Linked DNA regions of Anolis sagrei. The protein of the gene in region 1 purifies or fractionates together with the protein of each later gene. This does not show direct contact. Links are inferred from orthologs where the notes say so. Each region holds a gene or a part of one and is shown on either strand. Other genes may lie near its edges.

Evidence for each region. The genes of interacting proteins can lie anywhere in the genome.
Region 2: the proteins of NRP1 (region 1) and KDR purify together in Homo sapiens (affinity purification with western blotting; 7 studies listed by BioGRID and IntAct, with this or other methods). This does not show direct contact. The link is inferred for Anolis sagrei from reciprocal best matches to the Homo sapiens genes NRP1 and KDR.
Region 3: the proteins of NRP1 (region 1) and FAM241A purify together in Homo sapiens (affinity purification with mass spectrometry; 3 studies listed by BioGRID and IntAct, with this or other methods). This does not show direct contact. The link is inferred for Anolis sagrei from reciprocal best matches to the Homo sapiens genes NRP1 and FAM241A.

Annotation. Positions count from the first base shown.
Region 1 is NC_090026.1:112,929,460-112,933,209, forward strand, and holds the start of NRP1 (neuropilin-1), read right to left. Parts: upstream 2,749-3,750; 5' UTR 1,780-2,748; coding exon 1,713-1,779; intron 1-1,712. UniProt on the Homo sapiens protein: Cell-surface receptor involved in the development of the cardiovascular system, in angiogenesis, in the formation of certain neuronal circuits and in organogenesis outside the nervous system. Mediates the chemorepulsant activity of semaphorins.
Region 2 is NC_090025.1:73,774,479-73,778,228, reverse strand, and holds the start of KDR (vascular endothelial growth factor receptor 2), read right to left. Parts: upstream 2,697-3,750; 5' UTR 2,537-2,696; coding exon 2,464-2,536; intron 1-2,463. UniProt on the Homo sapiens protein: Tyrosine-protein kinase that acts as a cell-surface receptor for VEGFA, VEGFC and VEGFD. Plays an essential role in the regulation of angiogenesis, vascular development, vascular permeability, and embryonic hematopoiesis.
Region 3 is NC_090025.1:32,299,402-32,303,151, reverse strand, and holds the start of FAM241A (uncharacterized protein FAM241A), read right to left. Parts: upstream 2,811-3,750; 5' UTR 2,414-2,810; coding exon 2,192-2,413; intron 1-2,191.

The DNA of each region.
Region 1 (3,750 bases):
GTCCAAAGTAGGAGAAAGAACTCTTGTCTGTTGAGGCAAGTGTGAATGTTGCAATTGATTAGCACTGAAAAGCCTTGCAGCATCAAGGCTTGGCTGCTTCCTGCCTGGGGGAATCCTTTGTTGGGAGGTGATTAGCTGGCCCTGATTGTTTCTTGTCTGGAATCCCTCCGTTTTTGAGTGTCGTTCTTTCTTTATTGTCCTGATTTTAGAGTTTTTTTTCTAATATTGTTAGCCAGATTTTGTTCATTTTCCTGGTTTCCTCCTTTCTGTCATAATTGGCAGCTCATAATGCCAGAGACTGACAGCATGACAAGTATCTTGTAAACTCAAGCTCTTTTGTTTAGGCATATAGAAAGTTAAAGAAAAGGACATGTCTATCTTTCTTAGATACTACACATAGATCCAAAGAAGAATGAATGAATGAATGAATGAATGAATGACAGAATGGGGAAAAGAGTCCTCCTCCTTTAAAAAAAAACTACTCATCTGTCCAGTTTTAAAGGAGACACCTTGTGGAATTGCCAGAGGTTTCTCTTGTGAGAATCAGCTGTGGTGTTGCTCAGGGGACACTTGAATGTTTTGATGTTTTACCATCCTTGTGGGAGGCTTCTCCCATGTCCCCGCATGGGGAGCTGGAGCTGACAGAGGGAGCTCATCCACACTCTTCCTGGATTAGAACCTCCAACCAGTCAGTCTTCAGTCCTGCTGGCACAAGGTTTAACCCTTGTGCGACCTAGGGCTCCTGTGAGACTAGGTGCAACTCTGGGTACTTTGTGTATGAGTCTTTATGGACCACATCACACTAGAGAATGAATCCACTTTAAATCTGGTTTTTGCCTCCTGTAGAATTCTGGGGTTTGTAGTTTAGTGAAGCTGTTAAAGGCTCCTCCTTAAACTACAAACCCCAGAATTCCGTGGGAGGCAGCAACCGGATTGAAAGTGGATTCATTCTCTAATGTGATAAAGTAGTATCTGTCCTGTTTCTGAGTGAGTAGTCTGAAGCCTGCTTTTTGGTCGACTTCTTAACCTACCTGGGAAGGAGGAAAGGATGAACTCCCTCTATTAGCTCCAGCTCCCCCTGCGGGGACATGAGAGAAGCCTCCCACAAGGATGGCAAAACATCAAGCATCCAGGTATCCCCTGGGCAACGTCCTTGCAGACGGCCAATTCTCTCACACCAGAAGCGACTTGTAGTTTCTCAAGTCGCTCCTGACAGGACACACACACACAAAAAGAAAAGTTGCACCTAATCTGGGATGTTGTGATGTGCCTCCTTGCAGACTTGAACCTTTAGGCCGCCCTGAGTCCCCCACGGGGGATAAGGGCGGGTACAAATGCAGGAAATTAATAATAATAATAATAATAATCTCACGGGAGCCCTAGGTCGCGCAGTGGGTTAAACCCTTGTGCCAGCAGGACTGAAGACTGACAGGTCGGAGGTTCGAATCTGGCGAGAGCGTGGATGAGCTCCCTCTGTCAGCTCCAGCTTTCCATGCGGGGACATGAGAGAAGCTTCCCACAAGGATGGTAACATATCAAAACATCCGGGCGTCCCCTGGGCAAGGTCCTTGCAGACGGCCAATTCTTTCACGCCAGAAGCGACTTGCAGTTTCTCAAGTCGCTCCTGACACAACAAAAAAAGAAGAGGAAAGGGCCCTTTTCCTGGCAGTTACCTGGATACACCCTGGAAAGCATGCAAAGTGGCCACTTACCGCTCTTCAAAGCCCTGCCAAGGGTGGCCGTGAGGGCGACATAGTTCAGGAAGAGCCCCCAATCCATCTTCCTTTCTTGGTCCTCGAGGATTGTAGGAAGAGAACAGAGTATCCCTGTTTCCGCACGCAATCTTAAATCCTCCAGGAAAGGGAGTTTCAAAAAACACAAGCAATATGCATCAAGCTGTTTCAGGAGCAATAGCAGCAAGCAGAGTCCCGTTGGTAGCAAAGGACGTGTGGATATACTAGATCTCCTCAAGTCTCCCGCATCCTGTCATTCAGCTCCAGTTTCCTCTGCCTTTTCCCACACTTGTTCCTCTTCCAGGCGTCACTGCCTTTGCCATTTCCAAGCTGGCTTGGAAAGGGGTGGGAAAGAAAAGCTCGCAAGGAAGTCACAACAGAAGGGAGGAAGGAGGAGAAGGAGGAAAACAAAACCCTTCACAGCTTTGCCTCGAAGAGAAACGTCTCCAGGAGGAGGAAGGTCTCACCGGGGAGAGACGACTGCCTGTCTGTGGAGAGGAAGAAGGAGAAGAAGGAGAAGCAATGCCAATGAGAAGAAGGACTTCTTGCCCAACTTCATGCTCTCTTCGCCTCTCGATCAGCTGGCATTTGGAGGCAAGAGGAGCACCAAGAGATGCCTTCTTGGAGAGATGGTCTGAGAAGGAGGAGGAGGAAGAAGAAGATGTTGATGGAGAGGGCGGTGCTTTGCCTTCTTCTCCTCCACACAGAGTCCAATGTGGATTTTGGGCACACTTCTGCAAGGGAAGGGAAGGAAGAGCGGCCACCCAATGTCCTTCTTGTCGGCTCTGTAATCCAAGAGGAAGCGGAGCAAGAAGTATCTCTCTGTCTCTGTCTCTGCCCAGCGTCCGGGCGGCTCTTCCTTCTCTTGCAGGCTGAGGAAGAGAAGCGCAACTCGGTGCCAATAATAAGAGAGGAGCCGCCGCCTCCGGAGCCGCCAGTCCCCGCCTTCTCCCACCCGAAAAAGGAAGAAGGATCAACAAACAACCAGAACGAGCCCACCAATCCACCAATTCGTGGAGGAGGGAGTCGGAGAAGGGGTGGAGTGGCTCATGGGGAAGGAGGGACGGGAAGAAGAGGAGGAACAGGAGCAGCAGCAGAAGGGGCACGCCGAGGGGAGACGCTTCCTGGCGGAGAGTGCCCCAGTCTCGGCAAGGCAGGTGAAGCAGAGCCGGGGAAGGGGGCAAGGAGGGCGCGGCAGCAGCAGCAGCAGCACAGGCGCACAGCCTCGCAGGAGGAGACCTCCCCCAAAGGGTCATCTAGTCCAGTGGGTCTCGACCTTCCTCATGCACTTCCTCATGTTGTGGTGACCCCCCAAACATCACATTATTTTCCTTGCGACTTCATAACTGTCATTTTGCTACTGTTAGGAATCGTCATGGAAATATCCGATGTGCAGGATGTATTTTCATTCACTGGACCAAAATACCCGATAGCCCAAATTTGAATACTTTTAGGGTTGGAGAGGGACTGATTTTGTCATTTGGGAATTGTAGTTCCCTTACAATCAAAGAGCATTCTGAACTCCACCAACAATGGAATTGAACTAAACTTGGCACAAGGGACTCCCATGACTGGGCACCACAATGGAAAGGAGATGTTGACAAGCTGGAATGTGCTCAGAGGAGGACGACTAAATTGATCAAGGGTCTGGAGAACAAGCCCTCTGAGGAGCGGCTTAAAGAGCTGGATATAGAATCATAGAGTTGGAAGAGACCTCATGGGCCATCCAGTCCAACCCCCTGCCAAGAAGGAGGAATATTGCATTCAAAGCACCCCTGACAGATGGCCATCCAGCATCACACCTAGCCCCAGCAGACAAAAGTCCTTTGTCTCACCCTGGTCATTCCACAGATATATAAACCCATTTTTCCTACTTCCAACAGACCTCACTACCTCTGAGGATGCTTGCCATAGATGCAGGCGAAACGTCAGGAGAAAAATTGCCTCCAGAACATGGCCATATAGCCCGGAAAAACCTACAACAACCCATCCAGCCTCTGTTTAAAGGCTTTCAAAG
Region 2 (3,750 bases), on another chromosome or scaffold:
TATAATTCAGTTTAAAGCAGAAAACTTGGGACTGGATCCTGCGATATGGGGCCTGTCTGGAAGAACTCTGTGTTGAATTGGTTGAGATTCTATGAGATATTCATTGAAAAACTATATTAATTGATTGATTGATTTACGACATTTATATGCCGCCCTTCTCAGAGCAGGACTCAGAGCGGCTTACAAGATATATATACATACAATATATTATATTATTAGCATAGTACAATATCAGTATTAAATATTACTATATTGTGGTATACCATTATATTGTAATATTATTAGAAATATTACATGTAATATAAATATATAATTATATCATAATATTATTATTATTAGTAGTAGTAGTAGTAGTAGTAGTAGTAGTATAATACTATTAAAAAAAACTATGACAAAATGTGCCACAGGATGACCCACAGAAACAAAGTTTTGGCAGTTTAATTAACTTTTTCCAAGTTTCTACAACAGATTGCATTAGGAAATGACATTTATAACCCAGGAGCAAAAATCATGTTATATAGTGTAATCTAAACCTTGGCCACATTGTTTCCCCTGATATAGAGGTGAGTCATCTCCCTCCTTTCCCTGAATCCCACCCTTGAGAAAATCCAGCAGGAAGTTTGTCACTTTCAGCAGCACCAACATCGCTTGGAGAAGGAGACTTTTCCCAAATCACTACGCACATCAAACTCCTTTTTTTCACTCTCTCTTTACCCATGGCTAGAGAACTGACACTGCCCATCGGGAGTAGAGCACTCCTATGACTGGGTTGTTGTGAGTTTTCCGAGCTGTATAGCCATGTTCCAGAAGCATTCTCTCCTGACATTTTGCCTGCATCTATGGCAGGCATCCCCCCAGAGGTTGTGAGGTCCTATGGCCTCACAACCTCTGGGTCTTTCTTAGTGGGTCTCTCTAAGAACTCATGTTGACAGTGAGATTTTTCTGCCTATGCTACTCATGTGCCTTGGGCTAAGGGCTATGCAGGACAAAGCATGGCACACAACCTATGGTTTTCCCAACCCTCCAAACTCCTTGCCAGGGAAAAATTGCTCTCTTGTCCCTTCTCCATAGATTGTGGAGGGCTAGGGAAGATCCCTTCCCACCCAATCCCTGGATCCCCTGAGTGAAAAAAACCAAGAGACACTCAAAGAAGGAGCCTCCACCACACTCCGCGGCAGAGAGTTCCACTGCTGAACAGCTCTCACAGTCAGGAAGTTCTTCCTAATGTTCAGATGGAATCTCCTTTCTTGTAGTTTGAAGCCATTGTTCAATTACGTCCTAGTCTCCAAGGCAGCAGAAAACAAGCTTGCTCCCTCCTTCCTATGACTTCCTCTCACATATTTATACATGTCCTCATCATGTCTCCTCTAAACCTTCTCTTCTTCAGGCTAAACATGCCCAGGTCTTTAAGCCGCTCCTCATAGGGCTTGTTCTCCAGACCCTTGATCATTTTAATCACCCTCCTCTGGACACGTTCCAGCTTACTTACTTTTAAAGGAGTTGTCCTACTCCCAAAACTTTGTTTTTTTGTGGCTGCTACAAACTATGTCAATGTTTTTATTAGGAGACACAAATGATGTATGCTTTTAGTATTCTTGTTATGGTTTTATATTATGTGTTAATGTTTTTAAATGTTTTATTATGTTTTTGGGCATCGAATCATTGCCATTGTAAGCCACCCTGAGTTACCTGAAGGCTGAGAAGGGCGGTATACAAATATAGTAAATAAATATGTCAAATTGGTTGAGTTTCTTGTGAGATATTCATTGAAAAGCGAGAGCAACCTGTGCTGCGGGATTAAGTTTAGGCAGTTTAATCAACTTTTCCCATGCCTTTATGATAAAACCAGTCAGGAAATGGCCTCGACAACCCAAGAACAAACATCATATTAGATAGTGCTATTGTTTATACTTGGCATCTTCGGTATGGCTTGGCGGTCTCCCATCCAAGTGCTATCCAGGGTAGACCCTGCTTAGCATCCCACCTCAGAGGGGATCTGCTTCCTTTAAGGTAATCATATTACATAGTGTTATCACTGACACTTGGAATCTTCGGTATAGCTTGGCGGTCTCCCATCCAAGTACTATCCAGGGCCGACCCTGCTTAGCATCCCAGCTCAGAGGGGATCTGCTGTGTTTAGGGCAATCATATTACATAATGTTATCATTGACACTTGGAATCTTCGGTATAGCTTGGCAGTCTCCCATCCAAGTGCTATCCAAGGCCGGCCCTGCTTAGCATCCCAGCTCAAAGGGGATCTGCTGCCTTTAAGGTAATCATACTTCATAGTGTTATCATTGACACTTGGAATCTTTGGTATGGCTTGGCGGTCTCCCATCCAAGTGCTATCCAAGGCCGACCCTGCTTAGCATCCCAGTTCAGACGGGATCTGCTGCCTTTAGGGTGTTTATAGATGCCTCCCCTCACAAGACAATAACAGCAGACAGCTCGTGCCTGCCTTACCTGAATGGACCCTCCAAGGCTCTGCAAGAAGCAACAGCAGGACGAAGAGCCCCAGTGGGGCGCCCAGCTCCATCTGTCCTCGGAGCAGCACCAAAGGAGTCCAGGGAAGGAAGGGATCCTGGTCAGTCTCAGCGCCCTGGCATCAGCTTCTCTCCCTCTGGCTTTGGATCCAAGCGCTGCTCAATCCGAGAAGAAGCTCAGGCAGATGGAAATTGGAAAACTGCTGTGCCTTCCCGCAGACCAGCCACAGGAGCCTGGAAGGCGGGGCTTTCCCAATCCGGGAGGACCAATCACAGGGCGCAGGGCTTCTTCTACGTTCCGAGGGGGAGGAGCCTTGCCAAGCCCCGCCCCCCTTGAGAGTTCCCTCTACTTAGCTGTAGGAGCCTTGTCTTTCTATGGGGGGGGGGGGGGGGAGGTGTTGTACCTACTAAGCATTAGAATTCTGCTCCAATTTTCAGGCATTGCAGTGTCTTATAATACAATATATAAAAATATAATCTATATAAATAAAAATGTAATGTTCGTTTGTGGGATTAACAGAACTCAAAAACCACTGGATGAATTGACACCAAATTTGGACACAAGACACCTACTGACCCAAGAAGTTACCATCACTCAAAAAATTGATTTTGTCATTTGGGAGTTGTAGTTGCTGGGATTTATAGTTCACCTACAATCAAAGAGCATTCTGAACCCCACCAACCAGGCATGTAGCGGGGGGGGGGGGGCTTGAGAGGCTTCAGCCCCCCACCCTCGAAATTCTTATTCTTACTGGTACATTATTTAAACTGTTACGTTTATTCATATCATGATCTGATCACCATGCTCAATATATCCCATATGCATGGGGGTATTGGGATAATGATACAAAAGGTTTGGTAGGATAGATCCTCAGCCCCCCCCCCCCTTTTTGAATCAAACTCAGCATCCCCCGAATCAAAATCCTGGCTACGGGCCTGCGACCAACGATGGAATTGAACCAAACTTGGCAGACAGAACTCCCACGAACAACAGAAAATACTGGAAGGGTTTGGTGGGCAGTGTCCTTTGGTTTTGGAGTTGTAGTTCACCTACATCTAGAGATCACTGTGGACTCAAACAATGATGGATCTGGACCAAACTCTACATGAATACTCAATATGTCCAAATGTGAACACTGGTGGAGTTTGGGGAAAATAGAATTTTGACATTTGGGAGTTGTAGTTGCTGGGATTTATAGTTCACCTACAATCACAGAGCATTCTGAACCCCACCAACCAGGCATGTAGCGGGGGGGGGGGGGCTTGA
Region 3 (3,750 bases), on another chromosome or scaffold:
AAATAATAATAAAGTTCAAGTGCCCAGTATTATAGCTGGGGGAGGGGTTATCACCTAGTGAATCGGATTAATCAAAAGCACATTGGAACATTCAAGTCTTTAGGTCTTTATGGAAAATGGACAGGGTAGGTGCTAATCTAATCTCCCTGGGGAGAGAGTTCCAGAGCTGGGGGGGGGGGGGAACGGGGGACCACCGAGAAAGCCCTCTCTCTCGTCTCCACCAACCATGCTTGAGATGGAGGTGGGAGCGAGAGAAGGTCCTCCTCAACAGATCTTAGAGCTCATGTCGGTTCATATGGGAAAATCAATAGGTACTGCTTCTGCAGGAAGGTAATGACACTCCATGCAGTCATGTTGGCCACATGACCTTGGAGGTGTCTATGGACAATGCCAGCTCTTCAGCTTAGAAATAATGAGCACCACCCCCAGAGTTGGACACAACTAGACTTAATGTCATGGGAAACCTTTACCTTTACAGTAAAAATGTATTGAATTAATACATAAACTATCCAGTTCGAAGAAGATAATCTGGATTATATGGCAGTGTAGATGGGACCACAGTGGGGATGAAAGGTCTGACATATAGTGTTCTCTCACTTATCACAGGTGTTACGTTCCAGGACCACCCGCAAAAAGTGAAAACCTGCGAAGTAGGGAGGCTATATATGTATATTCAGTTCCAAAGGTGAGGTAGAAGTGAGGAGAGATTTAAAGGCACCATACACATTTATTTATTTTTTTGCTTTGAAGTTTCTCTTGATTGGCTGCCTCTCTCAAGATGGGGAGGGTGAACCCCCCTTCCACACTCCATCGTTGCCAATAAGCGGGATTAAAATGCTGCACTGGTCAATGACAACCATTTGTCAACTGGGAGGCAACAACCCGCGAAACAGCGAGTCCATGCAAACCGTAGCGAGAGAACATTGTATCCCCTTTTTCCCAGCACTGCTTTTTCCCCAGCACTGGTTTATTTTATTGTGATGTTATTTTGTTGTTTATATTTTATGTTGCTGTAATGTATCGCTGGGCTTGGCCTCATGTAACTTGCTCCGAGTTCCCTTTGGGGAGATAGTGGCGGAATATAAATAAAGTTTATTATTATTATTTGCAACACAACAAGATGAGTGCACAGCAGATACTCTGCTGGCTGTTGTATTGGATCACATGTCCGACACTTCCCAAGTGTCTAGGACTGTGTGATGTATCGGCGAATAATGTGTGCAGATCCCAGTAAGGTGGCCTTTTGCAGCTGGCAGATGGTAATTTTGTCAGCGCCGATTGTGTTTAAGTATAGGCCAAGGTCTTTAGGCACTGCACCCAGTGTGCGGCCACGCTGCTTTTTCCCCAGCACTGGTTTGTTTATTTTATTGTGATGTTGTTTTGTTGTTTATATTTTATGTTGCTGTAATGTATTGCTGGGCTTAGCCTCATGTAAACCACTCTGAGTCCCTTTTGGGGAGATGGTGGCGGAGTATAAATAATAATAATAATAATAATAATAATAATAATTTGAAACACAACAAGATGAGTCCACAGCAAACACTCTGCTGCCTGTTGAAATGGATCATACTTCGGACCCTTCCCAAGTGTCTAGGACTGTGTGATGTATCGGTGAATAGTGCCAGTAAGGTGGCCTTCTGCAGCTGGCAGATGGTAATTTTGTCAGCGCCGATTGTGTTTAAGTGCAGGCCAAGGTCTTTAGGCACTGCACCCAGTGGGCCGATCATCACTAGGACCACCTTTATTATTATTATTTTACTATTATTATTTTGCAGGTGGCGAGGGCAAGAGAGGCAGGCCTGGGCTCACCTGCTCTTGTGGCTCCTCCTCCTCCTTTAACCAAGAGCTTTGCAGCCTGGAACAAAACCGGCTCTCCTAAATGCCAACTTCCAATTCTTTTTACCTGCAAGCCTCACAGTCTGCTTCAACACTTGGCATGGGTTTTGCAGTCCATGTGGGAGGCAACAAAATCCAGATTGGAGGCAGAGGAGTGTACAAAAGGAGCCAGGAACAAAAGGTGACACCTTCCCTGCCTTTCTACCTGTAAATCCAGCAGTCTCCTATGTTACATCACAAGCCAATCCATGAGAACGATGGATTGATTGCATGGCCAGTGGGAATCAATGGGGGAAGGCTTGTGGATATCAAACCTTGTGGGTAGGGAGAGTAAGAGAGGCAAGCATCGGCTCACCTGCTGTTGGGGCTGCCGCTCTTCCTCGTCCTCGTCCTCCTCTTCTTCCTCGGGTGTCCATGGCTCTTGTGGTTGCTGCTGCTTCTTCCTTTGCCTCCTCGCTTTCCCAATGGCGAGGGGGGACGAGGAGGAGCGCGATGGCGCCGCCGGCTCCCGTTCCCACTCCTTTCCCAAGACACATTCCGTCGTTTGCAGCCAGAGCAGCTCCTCCGTGGAGCCCATCGCGGGGGAAGAACACGAGAAGAGCCCGGATCGCGCCTGCTGCTACTGCTGCTGCTGCTGCCCCGCGCGCAGGGCGTCCAAGCCCACGCGCGAGGAAGCTCCGTGGCGGCGCCGCTGCGGTTCCTGCCGCCTCTGCTGCTGTCTTTGCCTTCTCCTTCTTGGCAGGGCGTGCCTGGCTGGGGAGCCGTCACGGGATCCAGTGGGAGGCGGAGGGCCGAAAGGCGACCCCGGGAAAAAAGGGAAGGAAGCGCGCGCGGAGGCGGAGTGGGAGTGAAAAGGGGGAGCGCGCAAGGGAGAAAGGAGGAAGCGGCGTGCCTCTCCGCCTTTTGTTCCCCAGCCCTCCCAGCCGCCTCTCTTTATACAGCGTCTCCCTTCCTCCCCCTCGTGTCTCTCCTTCGTGGAAAGCGCCCACCTCTGGAGGAGTGGCTGGGCCAAAGGGGCGGCAAGCATGGGCAACTTGCCTTCCAACTTGGACGCCTTGAGTGCACGCCTGACAGCCCTTCGAAGTGCCAAGCCTCCATGCTACAGGCATCGTGGGAGTTGTAGTTTGCTGAAGCACCAGCATGCTTTGGCAGAGAAGGCTGGAAACATTCAAGAACTGCAACTCTCAGGAATCATAGAGTTGGAAGAGACCTCATGGGCCATCCAGTCCAACCCCCTGTCAAGAAGCAGGAAAATTGCATTCAATGCACACCCGACAAATGGCCATCCAGCCTCTGTTTAAAAGCTTCCAAAGAAGGAGCCTCCACCACACTCCGGGGCAGAGAGTTCCACTGCTGAACAGCTCTCAGTCAGGAAGTTCTTCCTTATGTTCAGATGGAATTTCCTTTCTTGAAGTTTGAAGCCATCGTTCCAAGTCCTGGTCTCCAGGGTAGCAGGAAACAAGCTTGTTTCCCTCTTCCCTATGACTTCCACTCACACATTTATACATAGCTATCATGTCTCCTTTCAGCCTTCTCTTCTTCAGGCTAAACATGCCCAGGTCTTTAAGCTATTCCTCATAAGGCTTGTTCTCCAGATCCTTGATCATTTTGCCTTCCTCTGGACACATTCCAGCTTGTCAATATCTCTCTTCAATTGTTACATAGTATTCCTGAGCCATGAAAGTTTTGGACAATGGAAATCTCCATAACCTTTTTGGAAATAGCCTGGGAATTCTCCGGCTACTTCATCACACTAGACACTCGCTGGAACACTTCAGCAAGCAAGAAGTGGCAGGTTAAAACCCAGAACCTCAATCAGTGGCTGATACCAAATGAGAGACTCCCTCCTGGGCACACAGAAAAGTGGGCGACTTGGAAGGCACTGTGCTCTGGCACAATGAGGTGCAGAGCCAA